Linked DNA regions of Sus scrofa. The protein of the gene in region 1 binds, or shares a complex with, the protein of each later gene. Links are inferred from orthologs where the notes say so. Each region holds a gene or a part of one and is shown in the gene's direction. Other genes may lie near its edges. The genes, in order: CACNG1, CACNB2, STAC3, CACNB3 and CACNB1.

Evidence for each region.
Region 2: CACNG1 (region 1) and CACNB2 share a complex: the UniProt entries of both Homo sapiens proteins name them as parts of the calcium channel complex. The link is inferred for Sus scrofa from reciprocal best matches to the Homo sapiens genes CACNG1 and CACNB2.
Region 3: CACNG1 (region 1) and STAC3 share a complex: the UniProt entries of both Homo sapiens proteins name them as parts of the calcium channel complex. The link is inferred for Sus scrofa from reciprocal best matches to the Homo sapiens genes CACNG1 and STAC3.
Region 4: CACNG1 (region 1) and CACNB3 share a complex: the UniProt entries of both Homo sapiens proteins name them as parts of the calcium channel complex. The link is inferred for Sus scrofa from reciprocal best matches to the Homo sapiens genes CACNG1 and CACNB3.
Region 5: CACNG1 (region 1) and CACNB1 share a complex: the UniProt entries of both Homo sapiens proteins name them as parts of the calcium channel complex. The link is inferred for Sus scrofa from reciprocal best matches to the Homo sapiens genes CACNG1 and CACNB1.

Annotation. Positions count from the first base shown.
Region 1 is NC_010454.4:13,469,720-13,473,231, forward strand, and holds part of CACNG1 (voltage-dependent calcium channel gamma-1 subunit), read left to right. Parts: intron 1-2,132; coding exon 2,133-2,207; intron 2,208-3,344; coding exon 3,345-3,482; intron 3,483-3,512. UniProt on the Homo sapiens protein: Regulatory subunit of the voltage-gated calcium channel that gives rise to L-type calcium currents in skeletal muscle. Regulates channel inactivation kinetics.
Region 2 is NC_010452.4:44,593,607-44,597,756, forward strand, and holds the start of CACNB2 (voltage-dependent L-type calcium channel subunit beta-2), read left to right. Parts: upstream 1-1,338; 5' UTR 1,339-3,162; coding exon 3,163-3,381; intron 3,382-4,150. UniProt on the Homo sapiens protein: Beta subunit of voltage-dependent calcium channels which contributes to the function of the calcium channel by increasing peak calcium current. Plays a role in shifting voltage dependencies of activation and inactivation of the channel.
Region 3 is NC_010447.5:22,553,524-22,557,682, reverse strand, and holds the start of STAC3 (SH3 and cysteine-rich domain-containing protein 3), read left to right. Parts: upstream 1-1,352; 5' UTR 1,353-1,684; intron 1,685-2,573; 5' UTR 2,574-2,672; coding exon 2,673-2,738; intron 2,739-3,016; coding exon 3,017-3,284; intron 3,285-3,526; coding exon 3,527-3,624; intron 3,625-3,838; coding exon 3,839-3,911; intron 3,912-4,159. UniProt on the Homo sapiens protein: Required for normal excitation-contraction coupling in skeletal muscle and for normal muscle contraction in response to membrane depolarization. Required for normal Ca(2+) release from the sarcplasmic reticulum, which ultimately leads to muscle contraction.
Region 4 is NC_010447.5:14,877,127-14,881,243, forward strand, and holds the start of CACNB3 (voltage-dependent L-type calcium channel subunit beta-3), read left to right. Parts: upstream 1-1,316; 5' UTR 1,317-1,987; coding exon 1,988-2,032; intron 2,033-4,117. UniProt on the Homo sapiens protein: Regulatory subunit of the voltage-gated calcium channel that gives rise to L-type calcium currents. Increases CACNA1B peak calcium current and shifts the voltage dependencies of channel activation and inactivation.
Region 5 is NC_010454.4:23,044,694-23,048,205, forward strand, and holds part of CACNB1 (voltage-dependent L-type calcium channel subunit beta-1), read left to right. Parts: intron 1-2,143; coding exon 2,144-2,266; intron 2,267-2,840; coding exon 2,841-2,977; intron 2,978-3,210; coding exon 3,211-3,287; intron 3,288-3,512. UniProt on the Homo sapiens protein: Regulatory subunit of L-type calcium channels. Regulates the activity of L-type calcium channels that contain CACNA1A as pore-forming subunit.

The DNA of each region.
Region 1 (3,512 bases):
ACGCAAACGCCCCACAGCAGTGGTTTGTCCAGAACGAAGCCTGGTGTCTGTCTGGTGGGAACTGACACCCCAAACACTATCTGCACGAGAGGAGCCCCTGTGAGCCCCTGTGCCAAACAGCTGTGCCTGGGCCAGGCTCTCCACGGGCCTTCATCTCTAGGCCCTCGGCGCCGAAGGCTTTTAACTCTCGGCTTGTGAGTAGTCAGGGAGGCAGCTGACCGTGAAATACACTTGAATTCCGCCAATTCTTAGAGGGTTTTCAATGACACCCGAAATTGGCCCTGAAAGAATGAAACAGAAATTGTTCCTTTATCCAGAGGGAGACACTGGGAGTTCTGCGACATTGCACGAGCCATTTTGAAGCAGTGATTCGAGAGAATCTATAGCTAATACTCTAACAAATATAAGAGGGTGGCATTATGCTTTCAAGTAGCACCAGAAGCTGTGGGAGAGCATCAGTTCTGATGTCACCAGCGGCAGCCACACACCCAGGTAACTCAGTTCAGAAGGAACGTGATTTAAATATAGAGGAACATTTACTGCTGCTAAACCAGGCTCCGTCTCTGGGGTCACGCGCATCCTCAACTGTGGGAGCAGCAATAAGCCTGACCCTAGGGGAGCGGGGAGAGTGGGAGGCCACAGGCTTCAACGGCAAGGAGCTGATATGGGTCAGACGGAAGGAAGGCCTGCGCCCCAGTGAAAACTCTGGCTTCAGCAGCACCTCAGGTGTGCTTCCAAAAGAAACGAGGCATCAATCACCTGGCGACAATTTGAACGTAGCCCGAAGGTAAAGAAATGAATGAATGCACAAACCAGATGCCAGCTAAACCAGGAGCAGAGCTATTTCTCTACGGAGGTTCAAGGATCCACAGGAAAAATAATTCAATGAACGGTCTCACCCAAACAAAACCGAATTTAGTTTTTTTGTTGTTGTTGTTGTTTTTTTTTTAAGAAACAAAATAGTATAAAATAACCCAGTCATCTACTTCCTAAGTCAGGAGTAAAGACTATCAAACTATATCCAATAAGCGATAAGACCACCCTCTGATTCTATAGTGTGTTGAGTTATTAGAGAGTTTACAGGAGAAAAACGGAAGAGACATTATATTGAAAATCAGCATGAATTTCTCTGTTTTGAGTTCTTCCCCTGTCCCCATCAAATCCAGATTTTCGGTCCCACTGCCAACACGGATCAGCTATGGCTTTTCTGACACAAATCAGGTGGACCAGGCAGCTTCCTTGAGAGGCCTTATCTGGGCTGCTTCTGTGGCCGCAGGTGTCAAGGGCCTGATGAAATGATGTGACAGTCACATTTGTCCCTTGATTAGAGGCTCTCTACCCTTCACCCAGATCCAGATCCAGATCCCAGAGACGGCCACTCGGAAAATGCTCCCCAGAAAATGAGCATTTTAAGGGGTCTGGCTTCTAAACCTGACTGAGCTTCAGAATCTCCTGGAATGCTTTTGAAAAACCCTGTTTGCTTCCCAGGGCACCCTCAGTGCTTCAGGGTGGGCCTGGATGTTGATAAAAACCCCACCCTCGAGAGGATGTGATCCAGGGTTTCTCAACCTTGGCGCTGACATTTGGGGGCCAGATCATTATATGCTGTGGGGGGCTGTCTTGTGCACTGTAGGATGGTCAGAAGCATCCAGGCCTCTACCCACTAATACCTGTAGCAGCCCCTGCCCAGCTGTGACACCAAAAATGTCTCCAGACATTGCCTGGTGTCCCCTGGAGGCACAATCAGGCCTGGCTGAGAACCACTGTCTGGCCCTTGGTTGACCACGTGTCCTGCACCCCCTAACATAGAACGTGAGCTCTGGGCCTCAGTTACCCTATCTGCCTAATGGGCCCAGTACCCCAGTGCTCTCTGCCCCTGGACTCAGTCAGCCTGAGTTCCCTGAAGATCTGCCAGTCTCTTACGCAACCTCCTTTTCGCGCCGAAATTGTGGGTGAAGGTCAGAGACAGATGTTTATTTCCGCCCAGAGTCAGGTTTGGGGGAGCAGGGAGCCAGTCAGAAGCGCCCTTTCCCCCCCTCCCCAGGGGGCTCACACCCGCCTTCTCTTGCTGAGCCTGTGCCCCGGCTGCAGGTCCCTTCTCTTGACTCATAGGCTGTCTCCCTTTTTTGCAGAGAAAAACTGTTCCTACTTCAGGCATTTTAACCCGGGCGAGACCTCAGAGATCTTCCACGTCACCACTCAGAAAGGTGAGCCCGCGTGGAGATGGGAGAGGGGGTGGCAGCGTGGCTCCCGTCACCCGCTGCTGAGCCAGAAAATCACCTGGCACTGAAGCCCCAACGTCCCCGCTCTGACACCAGGCAGCCCCTCCCGATGCGTTTGAGCAACAGCCTGGGCACCCTCTGTGCTCCCGAGACAGCTGCCCTCCGTCTCCAGGGCTCCTGAGAGTCCCTTCCTCAGAGCTCAGGCGAGTTCGTAAAAGACATGGTTCCTGGTAGCTCCCCAAGTGGCAGAAGGAGCTCATTTTCCCACAGAGCCCGAGGGATGCTGCTGCGACAGGAGCTCTGGAAACAAGGATGCAAGATCCTGGTGATGGTTTTCAGAACCAATGGGTCAGAGTCCGTAGGGAGCCCTTCTGAGTAGAAATCACTCTCTGAGAATCAAAGAAGGTGGGGACTCGGGCGGATAACAGGAGGGGCCCCTGGAGCACTCGGGCCCTGGGGGGGCCTTTGGGGAACCATGGGGCTCCAGGGCTCCCTTCTGGCCTAAGCACAGCCCCGCATCGGCACGGGTGCAGACGACTGCACACAGCACAGGCGTGCACACGTGCACACCTATGCACACATGCATGCATGCACAAATATGCATGCATGTACACACCTGCATACACGCACACAGGCACACACATGTACCCACTCGGACACACACACAGATCGTCTCACATACTGAGCTGGGTAACAAGTCACACTCTGTCCTCCTTCCAGAGGTGGCGTGTCAGTCCCAGGACAGACCATCCCCAGCCTGAGTGCCACCTTCTGACCTGTCACTCAGAGGAAGGTTTCTGCTCCTGAAAGGCCTCCTGCCACACATTTCCCGCCTCCTTCCAGGGCCTCTGACCCTGGAGGGAGGAACTTCAGTTTAGGGCCTGGAAGACCTGGGAGAAGGAATTCGTTCAGGAGAACATCCTGGCCCCACCCCTTACCCACTACCTACCTTTGAACGAGGGCTCTTGGAACCTCAGTTTTCTCACCTGGGAAATGGGAATCATTGGATGTGGCACCCTCGCTGACCTGGTTGCAGGCACAACCAGCAATGACAAAAGGTGCAGGGGATGAGGCCCCTTCTGAAGCGCCTGGGGGCGTCTCTGCCCCTTCTGTGTGTCGCAGAGTACAGCATCTCGGCGGCCGCCATCGCCATCTTCAGCCTCGGCTTCATCATCCTGGGAACCATCTGCGGGCTCCTGTCCTTCAGGAAGAAGCGGGATTACCTGCTGAGGCCGGCGTCCATGTTCTACGCCTTCGCAGGTACGCTGAGGGCGCCTGTCCCTGTGCCCC
Region 2 (4,150 bases), on another chromosome or scaffold:
AAAAATTTAACAGAAAATTGTATTCAAAGAACCACTTAAAATTCGTGATAGGAGTTACTGCTGTGGCACAGTGGATTAAGAATCCAACTGCAGCAGCTTGGGTCACTATATAGGCATGAGTTCAATCCCTGGCCCAGCAAAGTGAGTTAAAGGATTCAGCATTGCTGCCGCTGCAGCTCAGATTCAGTCCCTGACTGGGAACTTCCATATGCTGTGGGTGCGGCCGTAAAAATAAATAAAATTCATAATGGAACAGCAACTAATTAGTCAACAACAGCCATTGAGCAACCATGAGTCCTGTATTCCCCGAAGATAAAAGAGTAGACGAGGACCACGTCCTTAGGGAGCTTCTAGCTTCATAGGCAGATGAAATTTACACACACACAGAGAGTATTCAAAATAAAGAAATCTTTCATTTAAAATTTTCTTTTTATCGCCACTTCGATTTTAATTTTTCTTCTGACCCTGAATGAGTTGAAACTTTTGTTCATATCTGTAATTTTTATTGGACTGTCAGGGTTTTTAACAATTCAGTATTGATTAATACTAACTCTTCCCAAATCATCCAACAAATTTGAAATCCACCTCATAAGGTTGTTGTCAGTTATGAGTAAGATAAAAAAGGTAACATACTAACCACATAGAATATTTTCAGGGAATGTCAGGTATTATTGATGTACCTGTTGAAGGTACCGCATAAAATCGTCAGGTGCTTTGCTCGCAACACTGATATTTAGGTGGTTAGCGGTGCAGCCCCGCATTAGCTGTTTTATACTTTACAAAAATTTGATTTAAAACACTTCTTAAGAGGAGCCCTGCAACATAATTATTTTCAAAATAAGTAGGAACCATAATTCCAGAGAATTCTTAGACGCTTAAGAACAACATGGAGTCCTTAAAGGCACTCAGTTTATTTTCGCTTTTGTTTCCCTTGCGTTCTCATCACACTCTTTCTTTAATATCCATGTGAGATGACAGTGTTCGCGAAACCCATGTAATCATTTCCTGGTGTATGTAAGTCAGATCACTGTGCTGTACGCCTTAAGCTTACACAGCGGTGTATGCCAATTACGCCTCAATAAAACTGGAAGAATTAAAAATATGTGTTTAGGAGTGCCCATTATGGCTCAGCGGTAACAAACCCACCTAATATCCATGGGGATGTGGGTTCGATCCCTAGCCCCGCTCAGTGGGTTAAGGATGCAGTGTTGCTGTGGAGCTGCATCTCAGATCTGGTGTTGCTCTGGCTGTGGTGTGAGCTGGCAGCTGCAGCTCCAGTTCAACCCTAGCCTGGGAACTTCCATATGCTGCAGGTGTACCCCTGAAAAGACACACACATATATATACGTGTATATGTGTGTGTATATATATACATGTATATATGCCTGAAAAGACATATATATACACACACACATATATACGTGTATACGTGTGTATATATATGTGTGTAAATACTCTTTTATGGTAGAATGGGAAAGATCTCAAGAAAAAAATCCAGGTGCCATTTGATTTCATTGAGAGGAATCTCAGCAGCCTTGCTTTGGCTCAGTAGATCTTCACTGAGAGGATTCTTTTTTAAAATACATTTTATTGGAGTATCGTTGACTTAGAAAGTTGTGTTAGTTTCAGTTGTACAGCGTAGTAACTCAGTTCTACGTATACATATATCTGCTCCTTTTCAGATTCTTTTCCTACATAGGTTATTACACAATACGGAATAGATTACTCTGTGCTATACAGTAGGTCCTGTCCATTTTAAATACAGTCGTGGGTATATGTCAGTCCTAACCCCCTAATGTATCCCCCCTGCCGTTGAGAGGAGGAAGAAACATCTCTAAATGTTCATTTCTCTAAATATGCATTCAGACGTCTCTCGCTATTTCACGTCTCTACACATTCATTTCTCTCTCTTTAAAGCAGTGATATTCATGCCTACTTCCAGGGTTGTTTGGCCTGAGAGTAGACCCATTCCTTCAGACTCTTCTTGGCATATAACAGATGTTCAAGAAAAGTGACTTTGCAGTCAAAGCCCTTCCGTAATCTCCCATGACCTCCATCGCTTGATCCAAGTAGTTACCCTGCTGGGGAACAGTAATTTTTGATGACATGGAAAAATGCTATGCACTTTTTTCCTGTGGTAATCTAACTTTCTATCAGAGAGAACATTAGAACTTGGATGAAAACCAAAGTCAAAAGTGACATAGCGGGTTTTATTCCCCCTCCAGTTGTATCTGGAGCAGCTTTAGATGGCCAGGCTTTTCTCTTGTGAGCATAGTCCCTCTGGCAGAACCTTCCAGAACGCTTCAGTCCGGTGACGAGAAGGACAGCAGGCTTTCCAATCGCTTGGTGTGGCTTTGCCCAGAGAGAAGGCAGAGAAGCCCGCCTGTATAATCCGATTTCATCAACTCAAACTAATCACTACTGATAGTAGCAAAATTTAGCCTGGATCGGCTTAGTAAATCTAGATTGACAGGAGGTAAAAGAAACGGGACACAAGGACACAGAACCAAGGGGAGGAGACCAGCACTGATGCCCAGCCTCGCTCTTCCATCTGGGGCTTCTCATTTGCTCCCCTCTGGGGCTTCTATTTTTCTTCCCTTATAAACAAATGTTCCTGGTTGTTAGGAGACCAGCCTTTGACAAAGCAGCCTCACCAACAGCAAGTGCACGGGGAGGCGCCGGCCTGCGGAGCGAGATCCCTCTGGCGTGAGGCTGCGCAGAAGGTACTTCCAGGTACACTCCGTACCTGAGACTATGTATTATTTATTGAAACTGAGCTCTGCTTTCTCTTTATCCTCTGGGCAGCCCTGAAGTGAGGCGCCTCTTAAAATGGATGCCACCAGCAGCTGACCTGGACAGTCTTCTAAATGCTACCTGCTTTCACTTTTCTTCTTGCTAAGTAATTATAAGCCATCGCTCCCAAGCTTCTTGTGAACTCTTGGTCTTGGGGAGTCATTGGAAATTGCACTTTAGCGGCAGAGGGACGGATTTCTCTGTGATTTTGAGCATTTCCACCTGGAGTCAAGTCTTGTGTTTTTGTTTTTGTTTTTAACGAAATACTCCACTCTGCATCTTGCAGTCGTAGAGAAGATACACATGTGGCAGCCTCTGCCTCCATAGGCTGGGTGATTAGAGCCCGTGATCTGGTATGTGTGCGTTTACATGCTTAGTCCAGCGAAGAAAAATGGGTCATCCGAAGGTGATCTTTATTTTTACTTACGATGTCTGTGTCTGGCAATCCAGGGAACTTTTTGCATTTGGGTAACAGAGACACTTGGAATAGACTTCACTGGCTTGTCCATGTTGGTGACATTGCTGTTGGCCACCTCAGGATTACAGGTTGCCATGCAAAAGACGCCGAAGGGTAAAAATGTCTCCTGGGTAAGTAGACGATGATTTGCGATTTCTTCGAAACACATTTTGTTAAGCAGAAACACATCATTGGCGAACATAAAGACATCTAGTGGTTTCACGTTTGGGAGAACTTTTCGTAAAGGATTTGCCTCAGAAGAGCCTATAATTATCTCATACGTGTTGGAAACCCCTTGGCAAAAGCATGAGGGTGTGCTTGCGAAAATGTAAACTATAGGACGCAAACCCTTGGCTTGTTTTGTCATTTTTAAGCTGCTTCGTATTCGCCTCTACACATGGAACTTAAAATGTGTTAATACAAAGACCAGATTGTGATTTCAAGATGTTTTTAACTTCAGAATTCTTTTTTTTTTTTTTTTTTTTTATGGGCGTTTGGTCGACCTGCAATATCGTGTTTGTTTCAGGCGTATAGCAGAGTGATTCAGTTATACATATGCATACATCCATTCTTTTTCAGATTCTTTCCCTGTAAAGGATATTACAGACTATTGGGAAGAGGTCTCTGTGTTATACTGTAGGTCCTTGTTGTTTATCTACTTTATATACAGTAATGTGTATATGTCACTCCCCAATCCTAATTTATCCCTCTCCTCCACAGAGTGAGTTCAGACTTCTTTAGGTTTAGTAAAGACAGTGTCGGTTTCTTGGGTGGGGAGGGGGGCACTGGGTCTGATTTTTTAGGGTAGGATGTGCAGAGTGTACATTACTTGGAGATATTGTTCTGTTCCTTTTATCTTAGAAACAAGGAAGCAGTAGCCATTGCTCTTTTACGCATCTC
Region 3 (4,159 bases), on another chromosome or scaffold:
ATCCAGCGTTGCTGTGAGCTGTGGTGTAGGTTACAGACGCGGCTCGGATCCCGCGTTGATGTGGCTCTGGTGTAGGCCAGTGGCTACAGCTGCGATTCAACCCCTAGCCTGGGAACCTCCATATGCCGCGAGAGCGGCCCAAGAAATAGCAAAAAGACAAAAAAAAAAAAAAAAAAAAAAAAAAAAGAATGCCAGATATCAGAGTTCCTGTTGTGGCTCAGCAGTAATGAACCCAGCTAATGTCCCTGAGGATGCAGGTTCCATCCCTGGACCCACTCATTGAGTCAAAGGATCCGGTGTTGCTGTAAGCTGTGGTGTAGGTCACAGACAAGGCTCGGATCCCACGTTGCTGTGACTGTGGTGTGGTATAGGCTGGCAGCTGCAGCTCCAATTTGACTCTAGCCTGGGAATTTCCATATGCCGAAGGTGCAGCCCTAAAAAGACCCCCCTCCAAAAAAAAGAATGCCAACTATCTCATTGACCCATCAGTTCATATGCCAGGACATCATCAGAAAGAGAAGGAATCAGGGAGTCAGAATGATGAAGGAAATGTGAGGCTTGGCCATCCTGTCTCCAAGAGTTTGCAGCTCCCATGAGGAAGGAGACTTACTTACAGATGATAAAAACTCCCAATGTGACAACTCTTGCCTTCTGTGCAATGTTAATGAAACCATCTCTGTGATCATTGGACCCTCACTCCCTCAGAGACCCTCAGGTGGAAGTCCCAGCCTGACTTTTTAAAATAGCTCTTAGAATTCCTTTCACCCTGAGGACAAGACTTTAGAGAAATAGGGAAAAGATCTCTGGGGGCAGCTGGAGGGAACAAAGCAATACTGCGTGTCGTCACTGCCTTACCAGATAGCAGCCACTGCTCATGGGCAGGAAGGCCATCTAGGAGATCCCTAGTGGCTCAGTGGTTTAAAGACCCGGCATTATCACTTCTATGGCTCTGGTTGCTGCTGTGACATGGGTTCAATTCCTGGTCCGGGAATTAATTTATGCATGCCGTGAGCACGGCCAAAAAAAAAAAAAAAAAAAAAAGGCAATCTAGTTTGGCTGAGCTCTGGAAATCCAAATTATCCTTTCTTGACCAGTTTCCAAGCTTTCTTACTGTTGGAGCCTAGATCGATGCTTGAGGGTATAAAAACAAGACAGGGACCACAAGAAGACAATGGCTAAGAAGTCAAAGGCTAGTTCCTAAAACAGGTTCAAGGAGGGGAGAATCGGGGAGGTATTGAGACCTTGGGGGAAAGGGGATGGATAAGGCTGTTTGTAAGTCATCTAAAATCAGCCACGCAAGTGTCCAGCATGGACACTGTCCCCTCCTGAGTTTAGCCAATGCTGAACTGCACACCGTGGATGAAAAACCAAGCAACAGCAGTGTGGGGGGATGGGAGGAGTTAGGGTCCAGCCCTGCCCAGACCTCCTCGTGTCCAATTTCTCTGTGTCAGCTGTGTCGCTCAGCTGTCCACTTTCCTCCAGCCCTGTCATTTCAGCTCTGACACCAAGGCGAGAGGCTAGGAGGTCTACAAATACCGTCTGGGTAGCTGGTGTGAGTACAGAGGGTACTGGGGGGGCTTAGCCCCCAAGGAAGAGGACCAGTCCTCCCCCAGCACCACCATCAAGACCCCAGGGGCTCCCTCTTTTCTCCACAGACTGTGGACTGACTTAGGGAATCCCAAACGTAAGTTGCCTCTTCATCCTCTTTGCGTTTCCAGGACTTCTCACCCCAGCTTCCCCAATCCGTAGTCTATTCAGCTTCTTCATTTCTCTCATTGTCTGTGAGTAGTTTGGGTTTTAGGAGTGAAATTATTAAGCTACTCCAGGACAAGAGTTAGGATTGAAGGGTAGGGTGGGGGTGGGGTCAGGGGAGTAGAGTAGTAAGGGAAGGAAAGTCTCATATTACTCTGAAAACTTAAAATAGCTGAAGCCTGAGGCAGGCTGGGAACTAGGGAACTAGGCACCGGGCCCCTGAGCTCAAGAAAGGTAGGAGAGAACAAATGTCCCCAGCCCATCCCTCTATGCGCACTTGTGGACATGCACATTAAACCTCTTGAAAGGGGATCTGGGAAGGTGTGTGTCACATTTCTAAAGCCCACAGATTCCCTTGGAGTTGCCATCATGGCTCAGTGGTTAACGAATCCGACTAGGAACCATGAGGTTGCGGGTTTGATCCCTGGCCTTGCTCAGTGGGGTAAGGAGCCGGCATTGCTGCGGCTGTGGTGTAGGCCGGCAGCTGCAGCTCTAATTAGACCGCTAGCCTGGGAACCTCCCTATGCCACGAGTGCAGCCCTAGAAAAAGACAAAAATAAATAAATAAAAACCAAAGCCCACAGATTCCCAAGAGAAACAAAGTGCTTGTAGGAAAATGCCTAAACCACACAGCCTTGTGCACTGTCTCAGGGCAGTAAACTCTGGGGTTGCCCATCAGGATAGAAGGATGGTCATTGGTTTAAGGAGTTGGTAGGGAAGTTCTTTTGTCTGTTGGGCTTTTCTCTGGGCCTTTCTGGAATCTTTCTGCTCCTTGCCCCTGTCTGTGAAAGAATCTCTGTTTAACCAAATTTCTCCCAAAGCCTCCCCTTCAAGGACCACCCTACTGCAAGGGACAGGAACAAGGGGGGAAGAATGTCATTCAGAGATTAGATTTCATAGTGAGGTCAACCTCTTGCAGGATGACAGAAAAGGAGGTGCTGGAGTCCCATAAGCCCTCCTTCCCAGGAGAGACTCGGCAAAGTGGGGTGAGTCTGGGCCTTGACCATGGGGTATGGGGAGCTGGGAAGCCACTGCAGTCTTGAAGAAAATTGCTTGAATTGATCTCACTTGTATACGATTCATGTATTGTTCAAATGCTAGCTAGCACCTACAGGCCCCAGGACCCCCTAATCCTGGGGTGTGCCCCTTGCCCCAAGCTTGAAGAATGTCTAGTTAGCTTCAGCCTGACCTACTCTAAAAAGCAAGACAGTTCCTTTAACACTGGGTTTCCTTCCTTCCCTCCTTCCTTCCTTCCCTCCCTCAGCTACAGCGGCTGAAGCAGTTATTTAGGAAGGAGTCTACAGGGACAAAGGAGATGGAGCTTCCCCCAGAGCCCCAGGCCAATGGGGAGGCAGTGGGAGCTGGGGGTGGGCCCATCTACTACATCTATGAGGAAGAGGAAGAAGAGGAGGAAGAGGAAGAAGAACCACTCCCAGAACCTCCCAAGCTTGTCAATGATAAGCCCCACAAATTCAAAGATCACTTCTTCAAGAAGCCCAAGTTCTGTGACGTCTGCGCCCGGATGATTGTGCGTGAGTCACAGAGGGAAGTGGAGAGTGTGATGCCAAAGGCAGGGGGCAGGGGAAAGGATTTAGGAGAGGAGTATTTGTACATCAGATAGGCTGTGGCAAGATTTAGCTTTAAGAAACTACTGCAGAGATGGAGAGTGTCAGGTCCTATACTGAAAAGGGACCTGAGAACTAGAGTAGCAGCAGTGTTAGGAAGGGAAAGGGCAATCAGGAACCTCACGCAAATGTTCTCCCCATCTCCCAAGTCAACAACAAATTTGGGCTTCGCTGTAAGAACTGCAAAACTAACATCCACGAACACTGTCAGTCCTACGTGGAGATGCAGAGATGCTTCGGCAAGATCGTGAGTAGGCTCTGGGGAGCAAGAAAGTAGAAGGGAGGGGACATGTTGCCCGCTACCTCCTTGCCGGTCCCTCCTCAAGGCATCCCATCCATTTCCCTGCTTTTTCTTCCTCAGCCTATCTTTTACTCCAAGAAAGGGTGGACGTTCATGGGAGAGGTGGGGTTTGGGGCTCTACCTTGTTATCTCTAATGCTTTCTCCCATCCCATCCTACAGCCCCCTGGTTTCCGTCGGGCCTATAGCTCCCCACTCTACAGCAACCAGCAGTACGCTTGTGTCAAAGATCTCTGTAAGTGCCCCATACAGGACCTGAGGGAATGGGCAAGCCTAGAGGTGGTTTCCAGATGTGGAAACAAAATTCTGAAACAGAAAGATTCTATATCCTGTGGTTCTCGCTCAACCTAGTATCTTGGCCATCTTGGATGCAGAGTCAGTATTCCTCTGTTTTATAGCTGAGGGAAATAAGGTTTAGCTGGGGCTCTACTCAGGAAGAGACAGAACCAAAACTGAAACTTTCACCCGCCTAACCTCAAACTC
Region 4 (4,117 bases), on another chromosome or scaffold:
GCCCCCAAATGGTGCTGGACTCAGGAGAAGGACCTGGGAAAGCAGACTGCCCCCCTCCCCCCAACAGGGAGCCATGGGGGCTCTAACAAAGTTGTTTGCCAAATCCAGCAGGAGGAAGATGCTGGGCAGGGCTGGACTGCACCACTTACAGGGTGTGGACAGACTAAAGCAGACTAAAGATGTCTTAAGATGAGGCTCCTCTTTTTCTTGCTAAGGGAACGTGAACAAGTGACATAGTGAGAAGCCAGTTGGGGCTTCTTTTTTTGGGGGGCGGGGTCTTCCTCTCTCGCGAAGGCACAATGCTTCCCATCATGGGTCTCATCAACCCTGTCAGAGTTTTGGTTTTCTAATTCCCCGGTAGCCCAGGAAGGTGAAGGCGTGAGCAGATTTCTGATTCACCCCCCTGGGTGTGAGACAGTGGAAAAGGAGAAGGACTGAGCTTCTGAAGCTTTCTAGTAATCTTCCCTGGCGCATCCCTGGGGGTGAGGATGGGGTGGAGGAGAGTAGGTAGGCAATCAAAATTCAAGGGGATAATTTTGTTCAGGAGATAAAAAAAAAAAAAAAAACAGGAAGGAACTCAAATGGGTGGAACTTTGAGGAAGTTTCCTGAAGATAAGGACTGCTGCTCAGTTCTAACCTCAAATCTTAGTGCCCTTTTGAAGGCGACTGCCTGGTTAAGCGGCTCCAAGCAGGATACTGGCCATCCCACCCCACCTCCATCCTCTTGCCAAGGAGGGGATCTGGCCTCACACTAGTGACTCTGAAGGGGGAAACGTGCCCCGGACCCCACCTTCCGCCCCAGCCCCAGCCATCCCCTTACCTCTGCTCTCAGGTTTCTTCCCTCTCCCTTTAGGCTCGCCTAAAACAGCCCCTCCCTACCCCAGTTCCCACGGATGCCTTGGCAACGCCCCGCACAGCCCTTGGCAGGGAAGTGAGGAAGGGAACCCCCATCCTGGCCAGACGAGGATGAGATCTGCCCGCGCAACAGGTGTGGGGCGGCGGGACCCCAAACCTCCCCCTTCGCACCGCTTGGGCATCGAGGCCCTTTGCTGCCAAAGTCCCAACACGGAGAGGGCCGAGCGCCTGGGGTGGGGAAAGGCTACTTTCTTGCCACGGCCTGGGGTCGCTAAGCCCATTCCTTCCCGGTGCCACTGCTGGGTTTGCTTTTGGAGTCTCCCGGGCCGCCAGGGCCCAGACACACCGCCCTCTCACCTGCCGCCCCTCCCCCGCCCGCCGCCCGCCCCCGCCCCGCCTCCTCCGTCTCCCTCCGTCTCCCTCCGTCTCCCCAGGCTCCTGCCTCCCCACTTCCTCCCTGTGCCTCTCCTCCTCCCTTCTCCGTTTCCCACCGCCCGGTAGCCGGCGCCCTCTCCTTTCTCGCCGGGGTCTCGGCTTCCCTGCCGTCTCGGCGCAGCCTCCCCTCCCCCGCCCCAGCCCTTTGTTTCCCGGCGGAGTATTTCCTGGGTTGCCGAGCGTCTCTGTCTCCGCATCTCTCCTCGCCCCGCCTCCTGCAAGGCTGGATCCGCCCCGCCCGCAGTCTCTCCTCCCCTTCCTCCCTGCCGCCCCTCTGCCCCGCAAGTGCTAGGGGACCCACCTTCTGGCCAGCTCCTGCGGGCAACCCTCTGCCCGCCGGCTCTCGGGCTCCCCAGTGGCCGGCGCCCCCCGCCGCCACCCCCGCCCGCTCCCAGGGAGGGGGGGTCAGGTGGGCGGGCACTATTGTTGTAGGAGCCGGCGCCAGATTCCTCGGCGGCGCTCGGGGTGGGATCGGCAGGGTTTGGGGGGGTGGGGTGGGGGGAAGCGGTGATTTGAGCTCGGAGCAGCTGGTCTTCGCGGCTCGCTCCCTCCTGCGTGCTCCCGCTCTCCTCCGCCGCCGCCCGCAGGGCTGCGGGGCTCGGTGGCATCTCCCGGGCGCGGCCCGCTGTCCTCACCCCTGCCTCCGGGCCGCTCCCGCCCCCGGCGCCGCTCCTTCCCCCCCCATCCGGACTCCCCCATGTATGACGACTCCTACGTGCCCGGGTTTGAGGACTCGGAGGCGGTGAGTGCCTACGGGGAGGGTGGGGGTGGGGAAGTTGGGGTGACACCTTCTCTCTCTTGGACCCTTCCCCCAGTTCAGGACTTTGGGAAAAAAAAAAAAAAACCCGCTTCTGTGGCGGGGCAGGGCGTGGGGGGGGGCGCTCCAGGAAAGTGGGGAGATGGGTTTTCATGCCAGAGGCTCCCAGTGCTCCTGTCCTAGAGCAAGGGGCGTCGGGTGTGTGCAGAGAGGGGCTAGTTGGGGGGGGGGGCTCAGAGCAGGTGGCTCCACAGCCCAGGATAGAAGGGTAGAGGGAGGAGGGGCTGGAGGCAGAGGGCCCAGAGGCTTTAGAGAGGCCTCACTGCAATGTCTGGAGTTCCCAAGGGGTGATTTGTGGGGTCTGAACATAACAGCCACAGGAGAAACTGGGGCTCTTGCAGAGGGGGACCCTCCAGACCTCCTGTGCCTCAAGTAAAGGACAAATTAGGGAGCCTCTAGGACAGCAGAGAATCCGACACCAGCCTCTTCAGACAGGAGGATCCTGAAACTTGAGGACTCCATTGTCCCCCTGCGCTGTCCATCCCTGAGCGTGGCCTTATCTCTCACCCTGCCTCACACCCAGCTTCTCTCCCAGGCTGAAAACTGGGCAGCCAGCACACGAGTGGGCCAGCTGACCGAGCCCCATCCATTCGACTCCTCCTGCTGAGGCAGCCTCAGAGCAGTGGGGGGCTCAGCATGGAGGGCCTGGAGGGGAGGCCAGAGATGCTGAGGGCCTGGGGATAGAGAGGAAGCTCTTTGCTCAGAGAACCAGGCAACTGATAAATATTTAATTCTCCTCTTTGCTTTTATCTCCTGACCTGCTGAGACAAATCAGCTCATTAGGCAGTGATTCCCGGAGCTCAGAGAGCAGGGACAGTGCCTGGAAAGATGGGGCACGGGAGGGCAGCCGCATCTCAGTGCCTTCCCTCAAACACCCTACCAGAGGCGCCCTTATGAGAGCAGCTAGATGGCGTGGAAGGGGTCCCTCACAGGTGTGGAGGCTAGCGCACTCCAGGCTCGCAAGGGGCCTGTTGTGGGTCTTCCTTCTCCCATCTCTCCCGAGGCCAAGCCCAGGGTAGGTGAGTTCTAGGGCTCAGAATAGACAGCTATCAATCCTTTTCCAGGACTGGGCTCCTGCTGGGCCCAGTTCCCGTAGGGCCTCTGGGGCTAATTGCATTGCGGCTAGAGCAGATGAATTTCAAGGCTCTGGTGGACACCTCTTTCTGACAGTTGAAGGGACAGATGGCATGGCCCAGGGTGCCAAGGTGAGCTTGAGAATGCACCTTTGTGTGGGGCTGGAGGGCCCTAGAAGGTTCTTGCCTTCCCGAGTTGGCTAGCACTGCTGCAAGGTGAAGACTGACATGTAGGTGGAGTTGGGGGCAGCCCGCTCCCCCTTCGGCGCAGGCTTCTCATCCCTCCCTGGCTCCTGGGTTACCCTCCCCCACTCCTCTTTCTCCTGCCTGGCTTCTTGCTCTCCCCGAGGCCCCCTCTGAAGCAGTAGGAGGGAAATCAGGCTCTAAATAAATCCAACGGCTCATCTCCCTCCTCTCCTTCCCCCGTGCCAGGCAAGAGTGGAGCTGCAGCCTGCCCACACACTCCCCAGGCAAGGGGGGCACCACCAGGGCACCGTGCCAACTCCTGGCAGCTTCAAAGTACCAAGCCTCTGGCTGTTTTGGCATCACAGGGGGTGGGGGAGGCAAGAACCCAGAGTACCCTTGGCAGCCCCGACCTCCCTGAGTGATACTGGAGCATGAGCGATGGGTGAGCCCCAGGGACTTGGGAGTAACAGAGAGGGGGGTTCCATTCTGAGCACTCGACCCGTCAGACATTTAGGAAGAGATCCTGTCTGTCCCCCTTCCGAGGGTGAGAGGCCAGGTAACCCAGGTGCCCCAGGCAGGGACACAGAAATGACTAAACTGCACTGAGAGCCTGGAGAACAGCGAATACAGGCCAGACTCCTCTCCCAGCGCAGGTGTAGGCATCTAGGAAGAAGCCTGTCACAGTGAGTGGTCGTCCTGCCTCGCCTCCTGCTCCCGGCCAGTTGGCCCCTGTCCACTGCAGACAGCCCTT
Region 5 (3,512 bases), about 9.6 Mb from region 1:
TTTTGATGATAGATAAATGAGATAATGGATGTGAAACATATAAAACCTGGCACACAACATGGATGCAACTAGAGATTCTCATTCTAAGTGAAGTAAGTCAGAAAGAAAGACAAATACCATAAGATATCACTTGTATGTAGAATCTAAAATATGCCACAATGGGGAGTTCCTGTCGTGGCGCAGTGGTTAACGAATCCAACTAGGAACCATGAGGTTGTGGGTTCGATCCCTGGCCTTGCTCAGTGGGTTAAGGATCTGGTGTTGCTGTGACCTGTGGTGGAGGTCGCAGACACGGCTCGGATCCCGCATTGCTGTGGCTCTGGTGTAGGCCGTTGGCTGCAGATCCGATTCGACCCCTAGCCTGGGAACCTCCATATGCCATGGGAAGCGGCCCTAGAAAAGGCAAAAAGACTAGATAAATAAATAAATAATAAAATAAAATATAGCACAGTGGATTTCCCTTGGATTGTAAAAATGTAGCCCACCTAATCCTCAGGGCAGCCTTTTTGCCTGCCCGCTTGCATCTCTCATAAGTATCTCATCTTAATAAATGTATTTCTTGCCTATCAAAAAAAATATGGCACAAATCAACCTATCTACAACCTATCATAGAGAACAGACTCGTGGTTGCGAAAGTGGGAGAGAGGTGGGGGTGGGATGGATGGGGAGTTTGGGGTTGGTAGAATGGGTAAGCAATGAGGTCCTGCTGTACAGCCCAGGGAACTACATCCAATCACTTGTGATAGAACATGATGGAAAATAATATGAGAAAAAGAATGTATATATATGGATGATTGGGTTACCTTGCTATATAGCAGAAATTGACAGAACATTGTAAATCGACTATACTCTAATAAAAAAAGGAAGAAAAAAGAACATATACATACACATTGAAAAAAAATACCTGGCACTCTAAACAGTAGCGGCTATCATTATTATTACTGTTATTTATTCGTATTGTTATTCTTCCTTCTTGGTGTCGTTCTGGGCTCCTCCACCCCCTGTACTTGATCATTCCCTGATGCCCTCCTCTACCTTCAAAGGACTGAGTTCTAGTTTTTGCTTTCTTTTTGTTTTTTTAGGGCCGCACCAGAGGCATATGGAGGTTCCCAGGCTAGGGGTCGAATCAGAGCTGCCAGCCTACACCACAGCCACAGCCACAGCAACATCAGATCCGAGCCGCGTCTGCGACCTACACGGCAGCTCATGGCAACGCCGGGTCCTTAATCCACTGAGCGAGGGCAGGAATAGAACCTGCACCTTCATGGATGCTAGTTTGGTTTGTTTCCATGGCACCACAATGGGAATTTTTTGCTTTCTTTTTTTAATTGTGAAATTTAATATACACATAAAAAGCCATTCAGTATATGTTTTTCTTTCAAAAATTTTTCTTTTTAAATTTATTTATTTTTTGTCTTTTTGCCTTTTCTTGGGCCGCTCCCGCGGCATATGGGAGGTTCCTAGGCTAGGGGTCTAATCGGAGCTGTAGCTGCCGGCCTACACCAGAGCCATAGCAACGTGGGATCTGAGCTGTGTCTGCAACCTACACCACAGCTCACAGCAACGCCAGATCCTTAACCCACTGAGCGAGGCCAGGGATCGAACCCATGTCCTCATGAATGCTAGTCAGGTTCATTAACCACTGAGCCACGACGGGAACTCCTATTACAAGATTTTGAATATAGTTTCTTTTTTGGTCTTTTTTTTTTTTTTTTTTTTTTTTTTTTTGCCATTTCTTGGGCCGCTCCCGCGACATATGGAGGTTCCCAGGCTAGGAGTCCAATCGGAGCTGTAGCCCCCAGCCTACACTAGAGCCACAGCAACGAGGGATCCGAGCTGTGTCTGCAACCTACACCACAGCTCATGGCAACGCCGGATCCTTAACCCACTGAGCAAGGCCAGGGATCGAACCCGCAACCTCACGGTTCCTAGTCGGATTTGTTAACCATTGAGCCATGACGGGGACTCCTGAATATGGTTTCTTGTTCTGTATAGTAGGTCCTATCTATTTTATGTATGATAGTGTGTACAGTATATGTTTTAATAAGCAAGTTACCAAACAAACATCTCCATAATCACCACCCCAGTCAGGACGTTGTGCATCGTGTCGTGATTTAACCCTCTGGTTGTGGTCCTCCTCCAGACCAAGCCAGTGGCATTTGCTGTGAGGACAAATGTTGGCTACAACCCATCTCCAGGGGATGAGGTGCCTGTGCAGGGAGTGGCCATCACCTTCGAGCCCAAGGACTTCCTGCACATCAAAGAGGTGGGGAGAGACCACTTGGCATCTGGGGGGAGAGCAGGGTAGTGGGTGCTAGGAGAGGGGCAGCCAGAGCTCTGGTGGAATAGGACTTCTGAGCCAAGCAGAGCTGGGCTAAATCTGCTGTGTGACCTTAGACAAATCTTTCCACCTCTCTGAGCTTCAGATTTTTCATTGGTAGAACAGGATGGTGATGCCTAGGTCGCCCGGTTGTTGGGAGGGATTGCGACGAGACCTGTCAGCAGAGTGGCAGTGTGCCAGGCACAAGGAGGTGTCAGCATTTCCTTCTCTCCCTGCCTTTCCAGGGTAGAGCTGGCACACGTGGGGAGGAAGGTCTCTCAGGGCAGGGACGTGCTTGGGGACAGGGTGGTCCGTGGCACACGAGGATGCTGGTTCCAGAGGAGCCTGAGAATTGGGGGCTGTACTCAGAGGCTGGAGCCAGGCCTGGGCTCTTTGAGGGTGCTACCCCCTGGGCAGGGTAGGCAAGGCGGGGGATGCGGTCCCTTGAAGCTGGCTGCTGGCTGGTACCTCTCATGTCCCTCTTGGTCTCTCCCACCCCACCTGCTGTTGTTGTTTGCAGAAATACAATAACGACTGGTGGATCGGGCGGCTGGTGAAGGAGGGCTGTGAGGTCGGCTTCATCCCCAGCCCTGTCAAACTGGACAGCCTGCGCCTGCTGCAGGAACAGAAGCTGCGCCAGAACCGCCTCAGCTCCAGGTGTCCGGCTGGGGGGCAGGGCGCCCCCACCCCCGGGAGAGGCTGTCTAGCCAGGAGTGGGCCCCAAGGGTTGACCCGCTGCCCTGAGGACAAAGAGCTGCCTGTGGCATCACCAGTGGAGCTGGAGAATCCCTGGGGTGGGGCTGGGGGCTGGGGCGGGAGAGAGAATCAGAGCCCCCACCCTCCCGCCTACCTCTCTGCTCACGGCTCCATTTGCCTCTCTGCCCACACAGCAAATCAGGTGACAACTCCAGCTCCAGTCTGGGAGATGTGGTGACTGGCACCCGCCGCCCCACGCCCCCTGTCAGTGGTAAGAGCTGCCGTCACCCCACGGGGTGGGATGGAGCTCCTGGGCGGGCTGGTCTCCCCACGGCCTGTCCCCTCCTTTCCCTGCGGTAGGGAGCACCCCGATCCTGTGACCTCCAAACACATCCAGTGGTCCCCCCTCCCTGAAGAGCAGGACACCCCACAAGCTGGGCCTGGCAGCGCCCATTCGCTCATGACTCTGCTCCCCATTTCTTTGGTAGTGCCATCT